Ovis aries: one gene and its partner. The protein of the gene in region 1 purifies or fractionates together with the protein of each later gene. This does not show direct contact. Links are inferred from orthologs where the notes say so. Each region holds a gene or a part of one and is shown on either strand. Other genes may lie near its edges.

Region 1 (5,969 bases):
TAAAATGGAGCTAATGGTAGCTCAGATGGTAAAGAATCTGTCTATAGTGCAGGAGCTCTGAGTTCAAGTCCTGGGTCGGGAAGATCCCCGGGAGAAGGGAATGCCAACCCACTCCAGTATTCTTGCCTGGAAAATCCCATGGACAAAGGAGCCTGGCAGGCTATAGTCCATGGGGTTGCAAAGAGTCAGACAGAACTGAGTGACTAACACTTCAGTCAGTTCAGTTCAGTTCAGTCGGTCAGTCGTGTTCGACTCTTTGCGATCCCATGAATTGCAGCACACCAGGCCTCCCTGTCCATCACCAACTCCTGGAGTTCACTCAAACTCATGTCCATCGAGTCAGTGATGCCATCCAGCCATCTCATCCTCTGTCATCCCCTTTTCCTCCTGCCCCAATCCCTCCCAGCATCAGAGTCTTTTTCAATGAGTCAACTCTTCGGATGAGGTGCCCAAAGTACTGGAGTTTCAGCTTTAGCATCATTCCTTCCAAAGAACATCCAGGACTGATCTCCTTTAGAATGGACTGGTTGGATCTCCTTGCAGTCCAAGGGACTCTCAAGAGTCTTCTCCAACACCACAGTTCAACAGCATCAATTCTTCGATGCTCAGCTTTCTTCACAGTCCAACTCTCACATCCATACATGACCACAGGAAAAACCATAGCCTTGACTAGATGGACCTTTGTTGGCAAAGTAATGTCTCTGCTTTTGAATATGCTATCTAGGTTGGTCATAACTTTTTTTCCAAGGAGTAAGCATCTTTTAATTTCATGGCTGCAATCACCAGCTGCAGTGATTTTGGAGCCCAGAGAAATAAAGTCTGACACTGTTTCCACTGTTTCCCCATCTATTTCCCATGAAGTGATGGGACCAGATGCCATGATCTTCATTTTCTGAATGTTGAGCCAACTTTTTCACTCTCCTCTTTCACTTAATGCTAACTATAGGCAGTATATGGCAGAGGAAGGCTTGCAGTAAAAGAAAATACTTCTGAGAATGAATTAGAATCAAACTGAGTGGGAAACGCCATGTCTAGAAATGACAAAACTCAAAATATTTTTTATAAAAGACAAAAGGTTCTAATATTACTCAAATATAATCAAGGTGAATTGACTGTTCCAGGAAAGCAAGAACAATGAAATTATATTTGATTTTAAAATCTACATTTACAAGTAGTATAGTGTAGGGCAAATTACCTAATCTCCCAAGCCTCAGTTTCTTTATTATAGGTTGTAGTGACCATTTGTTTGACAAACATTCATTTACTAGGGCCAGGACTACAGTAGGTAGGTGCTAAGGATATAAAAGCATAGATGGTATTGTTCCTACCCTCAACTTCACATAATGTAATAAATATTATGAGGAAACCTACTGAATGTTTTCTATGTGCCCAGTACTACTACAACTGTTTGTAACTTATCAAATCACTTAATCCTTTTCAGAACCTAAATCGTATGTACTGCATACCATTTAGGAGAAGGCAATGGCACTCCACTCCAGTACTCTTGCCTGGAAAATTCCATGGATGGAGGAGCCTGGTAGGCTGCAGTGCATGGGGTCACAAAGAGTCGGACACGACTGAGCGACTTCACTTTCACTTTTCACTCATGCATTGGAGAAGGAAATGGCAACCCACTCCAGTGTTCTTGCCTGGAGAATCCCAGGGACGGCGGAGCCTGGTGGGCTGCGGTCTATGGGGTCGCACAGAGTCGGACACGACTGAAGCGACTTAGCAGCAGCAGCATACCATTTATAACAGGTACAGGGAAGTTAAGTATCTTGCCTAGGAACAAACAGCCCTCAAGCTTGGAGCGGGGATATAGCTTGACAGTGGACAGGAATTTAAAAATCTGCATGCGCAGGATGGTAGTGGAAGTTTTCCACACGGAAGGAGCAGTTTTAGTTCATCCGGTCATACAATGGGGTTAAGATAGTACCACTTTTCCGGGTTGTTCCGATTGAATAAGAGTCAGCGATGTGGTAAGCACTAAATTATTAATAAAATGAAATTATTAATTTATTTTATTCCTTTAAATTGGTTCAGCGTGGCGAATCATTAGTGTCTTCGAGGATTTAGCTACGCGTTGAAGCTTTTCAAGTGGGTAATTTATACTGCTACCAACGAATTCAAGAGCTTCCGGTGGCTTTATGTTACGATATACGATAGGGCTACTCGCTTTGATTACTTTTTTCAGTTTTTGATACTCTTACCCATTTTCTCTGTCAAGTTCTCTATCTGCCTCATTTTGTACAGCCACCTCCGTCACAAGCGAAATTCTCCGAGAAACCGCCACGCGGCGCGAGGGCGGGAGCCTCACCCACCCACAGCCTTTGCCTCGCCCCCTCGGTCAGGGCGCGAAGGCTCAAAATAGTTCTCGCGAGAGGAGACTTTTTTTTTTTTTAACGAGAACTCCTAACCCCACCTTGCCTTTCCAGGGTCACATGACTGGCGCCTGCGTCCTAGAACCAAGGTTTTTCTGATCGCCTACTGGCTGTTAACTCGGCTGCAGGCTGACCAGGGGTCCATTCCGGAAGTAGATCCTTTACTTCCTCCCCGGAAGCGTGTCACAACCTAGCCGTCCGGCCTTTGCGGAAGTTCGTCACGTCGCAGTTGCCCCCGCACAGCGGATGTGTGTCGCCGCTTAGGTGACGCCGAGAAGTGCTTGCAGCCGCCGCCGCTGCCTTCTGGTTGAAGCACTATGGAGGGAGAGAGGAAGAACAACAATAAACGGTGGTATTTTACTCGAGAACAACTGGAAAATAGCCCGTCTCGTCGTTTTGGCTTAGATCCAGATAAAGAACTTTCTAATCGCCAGCAGGCGGCCAATCTGCTCCAGGACATGGGCCAACGTCTTAACGTGTATCCTTGCGGCCTAGGCCTTTCGGCCTTGAAGTCGGTCCCGCCCTGCTCTGCTTCCAGTCTTCAAGGTCTGTTAGACAAGAAGGGAGGAGGGTGGGCAGGGACTGGGTGTCTAGTTAGGAGAGCCTACGATGGGCAAAACTTAAGTGTTCGCGAGAGGGAAGCGAGGCGGAGTTAATTTCCCGCTCGCTCACCGGTGCCACCAGCCTTAGTGGGAATGAGTTTCCTTCCCGCTTTGTATTTTAAAGTAGTAGTAGTCCCATTTCGGTGTGTTGTGATCTCCTGTTCTGGTGACTTTGAGATTCTGCTTTTCTGTTATGCCCAAAGTGTCTAGTGGAGGTTTCACTGTTGATGGCTGCCTTAAACTTACTGTGTACAGAGAGTTTTGAGAAATTTCAGTACCTGAGGGTCTTATTAAAAGGGTGGCTTAGAATTAATACCCTAGCTTTGGCTTAAAATCCGTTCCTTCCACTTACTGCTTGTTGGAGACTGGTTTATAAAATGGGATGATACCTCTTGAATTTGATTTCTATGCCTAGCACAATATTGGGCACTTATATGTTCAAAAAGTAGTTACTGTTAAGAGTTTTACAGTATTTCAGAGGAAGGAACGATGTCAGTTTAGTTTGTAGGCAAGTAGACTTACAGATCTAATGTTCTGAAAAATCTTTTATAAAATACTGGGGTTTTAAGTTACTCAAAGTGCTAATGTGTATTCGTTTTTCTCATATTTAAAAGATTTAGTGGGGTTTTTTTCCCCTTTAAGTGTTTTGGTCAGAAAACCTACTCATTTTGTAGCAGACAAAGCTGTAGAGTTTTGAAGTTCTTTCCACTTAGGAAGTAAAAAATTTGTTTTTGGGCGCAACTACCATTTAAATGTGTTGCTGGCTGTATGTTTCTTTCTTAAGGTTGTCCTCACTTGAAAAAAGGTGTCTTTGGTGCCCATATTCAGTGTGTTTCCTAAGCATCCAGTCCGTACTGAGTTAAAATTTTTTAAAATCTGTTTTAGTGCATCCTAGTAGTTTCCTTGTGTGTGTATTACTGTGGTACTGTCTCATCTCTGTGTGCTCAGTCGTGTTCCACTCTTTGCGGCCCCATAGACTGTAGCCTGGCAGGCTCCTCTGCCCATAAAAATTTCCAGGCTAGAATACTGGCTGCTAAGTCGCTTCAGTCGTGTCCGAGTCTGTGCGACCCCGTGGACTGCAGCCTACGAGGCTCCTCCGTCCATGGGATTTTCCAGGCAAGAGTACTGGAGTGGGTTGCCAATACTGGAGAGGGGTGCTATTTCTTACGGGGAGGGTGGAGGCGGAGAATTTTCCTGACCCAGGGGTTGTTCCTGTGTCTATTGCGTCTTCTGCAGTAGTAAACAGGTGGTTTCTTTACCACTAGGGCCACCTGGGAAGCCCCCATCTGTGTATATCCCACATTGTTTTCTGAGGTCTTTTTAAGTAAGGCATTCAGAAATTTCCCTTTTCAAGAGAACCCTTGGACAGTGTTGGTGGTAGTGTATATTGGTGCAGTCATTGTGGAAAACCAAATAGAGGTTTCTCAAAAAGCTAAAAATTGAATTACTATATGACCCAGCAATTCCACACCTAGGTATATAAAACAAAGACACTCATTTGGAAAGATATGAGCACTCAGTTTGTTCATAGGAGCATTGCTTATAGTTGCCACGATATGGTAGCAAACTGAATGTTCATGGACAGATGAATGAATAAAGAATAGGTGGTATATATAGACAATGGAATACTATTTAGCTATAAAAAAGTATGAAGTAATGCCGTTTACAGCAATGTGGATGGACCTAGAGGTTATCATACTCAGTGAAACAGTCAGAAAGAAAAAGACAAATGTATATTATTTACATGTGGAACCTAAGGAATACAACTGGTGGAAACAAAAGGTAGACTCAGAGCTAGAGAACAAACTAATGGTTAGCAGTGGGGAGCGGTGAGGGGGCAATGTAAGGGTGGGAGTGCGAGGTACAAACTACTGGGTGTGAGGTAGACTACAAGGATGTATTTTATATTTTACAACAAGAGGAATATAACTGTAGAAATTGGAAATGGAGCATAATCTTTAAAAAGTGTGTTAAAAATTAAAGTCGGAATTTTTCTTTTCAATGAATATCAAATAATTCATTAAATACCAAAGTGTTTCTGGTCCCAGGGATCACCTTATGAGAAGGTTTGGTTGCCAGAGGGAAGTAGAACTGAAAAGTTAATTGCTGGAGCTTAGAAGATGAGATTAGTGGAAACATTCCTAGGAGGAAATCAGTCCTGAATGTTCATTAAAAGGACTGGTGCTGAAGCTGAAACTCCAATACTTTGGCCACCTGATGTGAAGAACTGACTCATTTGAAAAGACCGTGATGCTGGGAAAGATTGAAGGCAGGAGGAGAAGGGGACGACAGAGGATGAGATGGGTGGATGGCATCACTGACTCAGTGGACATGAGTGTGAGCAAGCTCTGGGAGATGGTAAAAGACAGGGAAGCCTGGCGACACAACTGAGCAGCAGCCTAGGGGGCAGATCGGGGAGGGCTTGAGAAGATGAGATAAGCAGAAGCATACCTAGAGGACAGATCAGGGAAGGGTGTTGTGAATCAGTGTGAAGAGAGATTCTGTGCTAATGGATCACCTTGGCAGGATTTTCAGTAGACAGGTGACAGGTCTTAGGTAGTTTTGTTTGTAGTCCTCAACCCACACATATTGAGACCTTGTTTATTAATTCAGCAAGTTTATAGTGATACCTGTTTCATAGAAGGCATTGTGTTAAGTGTCAATAGTTTGATGAAAACAGATTTGCTTTTTAATTCTGAGAGGCAAGTATGATATCTTTGTTTAAAACTGAAGAATTATAATTATTGATTTCCAACATTGTGTTAGTTTCTGGTGTACAGCAAAGTGATTTAGTTATACGTATATATAAATGTCCTTTTCCATTATGGTTTTTTACAGGATATTGAGTATAGTTCCCTATGCTGTTACCTGTTTGCTTATCTGTATATATTATATATAGTTGTTGATGGCTGAGTAATACTCCATTTCGTATATGCACCACATGTTCTTTATCCATTCATCTGTCCTTGGACGTTTAGGTTGTTTT
Region 2 (5,804 bases), on another chromosome or scaffold:
TGAGCATTTCAAGTTATTTTGTAAGGGGGTAGAATTATAAACAAAATACAAATGTAGGCTATGATCGTCACTACAGAATTCACTACTAACTCTTTCATCTGAAAAATCTATAAAGGGCAGATTACCACTTCTCCTGGTGGCTCAGAGGTTAAAGCATCTGCCTGGAATGCAGGAGACCCGGGTTCGATCCCTGGGTCGGCAAGATCCCCTGGAGAAGGAAATGGCAACCCACTCCAGCACTCTTGCCTGGAGAATCCCATGGAGGGAGGACCCTGATAAGCTACAGTCCATGGGGTTGCAAAGAGTTGGACAACACTGAGCGACTTCACACACACACTACTTCTCCATTTGTTTTCATCGTCAAAGCCACCATCTAAGGAGATAGTGGACAAAACTGCATAAACACAGAAAGCCACAAATCTCCCAGAAATCAGACTTTTCCCAGCATTCTCTTCTCAGCCCTGATACTCTCCTTCCTTTCCCATATATAAATATATATATATATATATTTTGCGGCCTGGAGAATTAAGTTCAGAAAATCTTGCCCCATGTGAATAACACTCTGCAACTTTCAATCTTAAAAATCTGTGGAGAATCAAATATACCTTCATTTTCGAGTACAGATATGGATTAGATTAAACAGGAATTAAGCTATGGTACAAGTTCTCTTTGCTACACATTGGTTGCAGAAGATCAGGAAGTTACATGATAGTCATAGTTTACTTTTTCAATGTCCTATGATAACAAATAGGTATACTGTCATTCCATACATTCCAAATCAAAGTTCTTATCTTTCTTAGCAATGTCTGTTCTGCTGTTCTCACCACCCTCATTTTCTTTAAGGATGACATATTCTACTTAGTTAACCAGTCGAGCTATTTACTAGCTGTATGGATTTGGGGCAAGTTAACTCAACTTTCTACGATCTACAAAGTGGAATAAAATTTATACTGACATACTAGGGTTGTTTTAAAAATTAACCAAAATGGATAAAGCACTTTCCATTGCTGCTATACAGCACACAGTCAACAATATCTAACTGTTATTTATTATCATTTTATCATTTACCAATCTGTCATTAATCCCTATCAATGTAACCTTTGGAATGGCTCTTATCTTCATCCAGTGTTTTCCACAACTACTGTTATAATAATACGGAAATTGTTTATAAATTGTTTGAGAAGTCCTCCATCCTTCACAGAAGCTGTGTAACTTGTCTAAACACAGGTCTAATTTTGTGACTCTAATGCTAAAACTTTCAACAATAATAATTCTTTAGCATCTTTTGGTAACACAGCATATATTTTTAAAAAATTGTTAAATGAATCAACTAGTTTCATAGGGTTTAAACAAAGAATAAAAGTTACTGTGTAACACCAGTTACTTTACACACCTTGTTTTAAATCCTCATAATCCCTCTAGGTTATTTCTCTTAACTTTTTACAAAGGCTCAAAGGTTAAGTGACCTGGCTAAAGCTAGCTAGGTAAGTAAGCTCAGGTATGTTTAACTTTCACACTGCCTAAGTTTTAGTAGAACCTCTTGCAACCTCTTACCATGTAGTCTACGTTTTGACTCAGAAATCCTTTTTTTAAATTGTTAAATTTTTTTTTTTTTTACAATGTTGTGTTGGTTTCTGCTGTACAACAACGCGAATCAGCCATCTGTGTGTTCGTGCTAAGTCGCTTCAGCAGTGTCTGAGTCTTTGTGATCCCATGGACTGCAGCCATCCAGGCTCCTCTCTGTCCAAGGAATTCTCCAGGCAAGAATACTGGAGTGGGTTGCCATGCCCTCCTCCAGGGGATCTTCCTGACTCAGGGATCTAACATTGCATCTTACATCGCCTGCAATGGGAGGCAAGATTTTTTTAACAGTAGCGCCACCATCAGTCATAAATATACATATATACCCTCACTCTTGAGCCTCCCTCCCCTTTCTCCATCCCACTCCTCTAGGTCATCACAGAGCACCAGACTGGGCTCCCTGTGTCATACAGCAACTTCTCACCAGCTATCCATTTTACACACGGTAGTGTGTATCTGTTGATGCTACCTTCTCCATTCATTCACTCTCTCCCTCCCCACCCCGGCTGTGTCCACAAGTCCATCTCTCCTGGCTCAGAAATTCTTAACCTGAAATCCATGGAATTTGGGATGGATTTCAAAAATTATTGTAAATCCCACGAAATTTTCAAAGGTAAATTTTAAAGGTGAAACCATGACTTTTCTACGTTTATAAAATGAACTCGTCAATCATTTTATTTAAGTAATTAACCAGGGAACTAGTTAAGTGCTAAAAACCAGTTCAAAGGTGAACTCAAAAACTAGACAAGCGCAAATACAAGCAAGCAAAAATATTGAAATGAACTTGTTAACAGATGTAACACTAATCAGGGCAATAACTCTTAAGACTTATTTCAATTATAACTTACATAATTGTAACATAGCTCAATGACAATGAAAAGCAGAGGTAAGCTGGAAAAGTAAGCTAGACACCTCTTTTTTTTTGGCTATTTCAACGTCTTTCACAATTTTTCTTTAAAAGGTTATAGAAAATATTTAGAGATGTATATGTATTTTCCTGGGAGGCTCATCCATATCTTTTAAATCACGTTTTAAAAGGAAATGGTGTGTCAAAAAGGTTAAGAGAACTATAGTTCTAGTCACATCTGACTATCCAGCGTTGCCTACTTTCTTGTCTCTGTGCCTCTGCTTTAAAAGCTTCTTGTCTTCCTTGTCTTATCAAGTCCTATTCAATTTTCAAGGCCCAGGTTAAACGGCATCTTACTCTTTCTAGCTTTCTGCTAGCACATTTCCCCTAAACAACCGCCTCATCTGTTTCCCTTTTAAGTATGTCTATTAACGCACTCAATAATACACTGTATTTTTTCTTCCTTCCATAACTGGATGTTCAGCTCTCTGAATGACAGAGACAAAAGTTCTGAAAAAGGAAATGACTTAATTTAAAAATACAAGTCCACATTCGCTATCGTTTGGCCACCAAAACTCGAATCTGCGAAGAAAAGCAATTCCCCTTTTGACTACTGCCCCTTTAGGTACCCGTCCTTCCTCAAGGAAGCCGTCAGACGCGGGACTACCCCAAACCTCCCAAAACCGGGCGGCAAGCGCCCCCAATCACTAGAAAACTGGAACTGCAAGGGCTGCCGGAGGACTCTTGCGCGTGCGCACAGAGAACCAGGACACTAGGGCAATCTAACTGATGGGTTGGTGGGAGGGGGCGGGATGAGAAGGACCAGAGATGACAGAAAGGACCGGCATAGAAAAAGACTGAGAGTAATTTAGATCTCACCCAACCTGGGCTTCCCTAGAGTCCACTTAGAACTTACTCTGTCCAATTCCCAAAATACAGCGCCAGAGACTGCGTTCTTCAGTCCTTCGCGTCCCCCGAACCTTATAGTCGTGGTTATTTTAGCGTCACATGAGCGACAATTCTTCCGAACGCCTTGGAAAAGATGGGCCCAGAGGTTGTGCGACCGACATTTACGTCACTGGCGTAGGCCCGCTCAGCGTGGGGGCGGGACATCGGAGAACGCAGTCGCCACAGAGGCTAGCAGCCAAAGAGGAACTTGATTGGCAGTTTGAAAACGGCCATTCAGGTCCGGAGCCGTGGTGGGCGGGCTAAATAGTGGGGTTGGATCTGGTGCGGTCGCGAGTTGATGATGTCACGGCTTTTCGCGGGAGAAGTTCGAAAGTGGGTTTTGTGCAATGAGCAAGTTAAAAGAGCTGTTTCCACTCGGGAGTTTCTGGGGATTGAGGGTAGATAGGCTGGAGTTTTGAGCTCGAGGTGCTGTCACTGATTTTGATGCGACGGGCGAAGGAGTTTGCTCCGCCAGACGGGGTTCGGTAACGAAACTGTGTGGAGATAAGGTTGGTTCACGGCTTGGCGCAGCAACCTGTAAATAATTAGTGCTTCGTCTTTACCACCTTCCCCCAACTCCTGCTGGGCAGTTCCGGTATCCGTGTGAGAACCCGGGATGGTTTTGCTGTTTATTTTTAGGACTGACAAAGGGTCCCTTCTTCATTGTCATCTGGTTACACAAGCTAGTGATAATTAGAACGTTGGCAAATGAAATGTGAGCATCTTTTGGTTGTCTGGACTGGACCGTTTCTTAAAAGGCTATTGGGCTCGTGATTCTTAAATTTTTAAATCTGTGAACCACTTAGGGATTCGAAAGATCCTGCTTGTTCCAAAAGAAAAGGACCAAAAACATCTCATCGTACTTAGCAAGAACAGGTCATATTTTAGTGATAACACCGAATTTTATACATAAATCTAAAAAACAGCACAATAATGTGTGTGAAGATATGTATGTATTTCTGTACTAAATTATCGCAAAACATTTAATCTCTCCCTTTTTTTTGAAGTGTAATTCTTTAATCTACCACTTAACAAGAGTTAGGACCGTCTCAATACCTTTTACATCGCAAATCCCTCAAGTAATATTTCTAATTTAGGAAAACAATGGGGGAATTTATTTTGCAGTTGGTAAACAGCATATAAGTAATCCTAAAGAAGTAAATACTGGATTTCTAACCTGTAAATTGTGATGGTAATAACAACTTTTAGGACTATGAGACTGATAAATATTATATGTAAAGAATCCAGTCCCATTCTTGCCTGTTACAGTAGGTTTTCCATAGTCACATAATGTAGTTTTTGTGAATGGGAACACCAGAATTTAGACTACTTAGTTTTAAATTCTGAATCTGCCATTTATTTACTTCATGAGCTTAGGCAAATTACATACTGATGTACCTCACTTCCTGTTTTTGTAAAATGAATATAAAAAGTAGTATCTGTACTATAAGGTGTAAAATTTAAAGCATTTTAACAGTGTTCTAGCATATAATTTACACTGAATAAATAATAACTGTTATTAAAGGGATCTAATGTTAACTGCTACATGCCAAGCATTGTGTTGACACTATGTAGTCTTATCTACATATATTTGATGTCTAACCCATTCAGTGGCTAGAAGCAAGTTGCTGTTCAACCAGCAGTCAACTATGTGTTTCTTTGGACCTCTGTTATCTTCTTGGCATTCACTAGGCATCTGTCAATCCTGTTAGCTGGAGGGGAGGGATTAGGATATGGAGTTATATTTCTGAAAGGCAGTGCCTCTGTAGGTCTGGCCCTGTGCTGTGAACTATATCATGGGACAAGCATTCATTTCTCATTTGTGTACCGTTTGCCCTGCCCTTTCTCCATTTAGCAGCCAGAGCAATCTTGGTAAAACCCAAGTCAGATTATGTTAACGTATTCTTGAAATTCTGCCTTGGCCTCCTACTGTCTTTTTAAAAAGTCCGAACAACTTAGCATAAAATAGAATGCCCTTCGCATCCTGTTATTGCTCACTTTTTCAGACTTATCTCTCACAACTCACTATCTTACACTTGATTATAAACTAGAGTTCCTTGATTATGCCTTCCACAGCTTTTTTGTACGTGTTATTCTTATTTGGAAATACCCTCCTTGGGATTTTTCCTTGGTTAATGATTATTTCGGTTCACAGTATATGCATTATGTCTTTCAGGAAACCTTGTTTGATGCCCTAGACTGAGTTGGGTGTCCCTCCAGTGCTTTTCCTTCCATATTTTTTGTAATTACTGTTTATTACCCTGCTATACTGAAATTCCTTGAGACTAGGAGTAGTAGTTTGTTCATTTTAGTATCTTGGCCTAGCGCTATGTACACACAATACATAGCACACAGTAAGTACTAAATATATGTTATTTATAAATAACATGTAGGTGGTCTATTTTTTGTACATTTTATACATATAAAG

The links. Proteins that work in one complex are often made in the same cells at the same time.
Region 2: the proteins of CCNT1 (region 1) and LARP7 purify together in Homo sapiens (affinity purification with mass spectrometry; 10 studies listed by BioGRID and IntAct, with this or other methods). This does not show direct contact. The link is inferred for Ovis aries from reciprocal best matches to the Homo sapiens genes CCNT1 and LARP7.

The regions. Positions count from the first base shown.
Region 1 is NC_056056.1:137,456,195-137,462,163, forward strand, and holds the start of CCNT1 (cyclin-T1), read left to right. Parts: upstream 1-2,643; 5' UTR 2,644-2,698; coding exon 2,699-2,859; intron 2,860-5,969. UniProt on the Homo sapiens protein: Regulatory subunit of the cyclin-dependent kinase pair (CDK9/cyclin-T1) complex, also called positive transcription elongation factor B (P-TEFb), which facilitates the transition from abortive to productive elongation by phosphorylating the CTD (C-terminal domain) of the large subunit of RNA polymerase II (RNA Pol II).
Region 2 is NC_056059.1:13,387,384-13,393,187, forward strand, and holds the start of LARP7 (la-related protein 7), read right to left. Parts: upstream 3,501-5,804; 5' UTR 3,345-3,500; intron 1-3,344. UniProt on the Homo sapiens protein: RNA-binding protein that specifically binds distinct small nuclear RNA (snRNAs) and regulates their processing and function.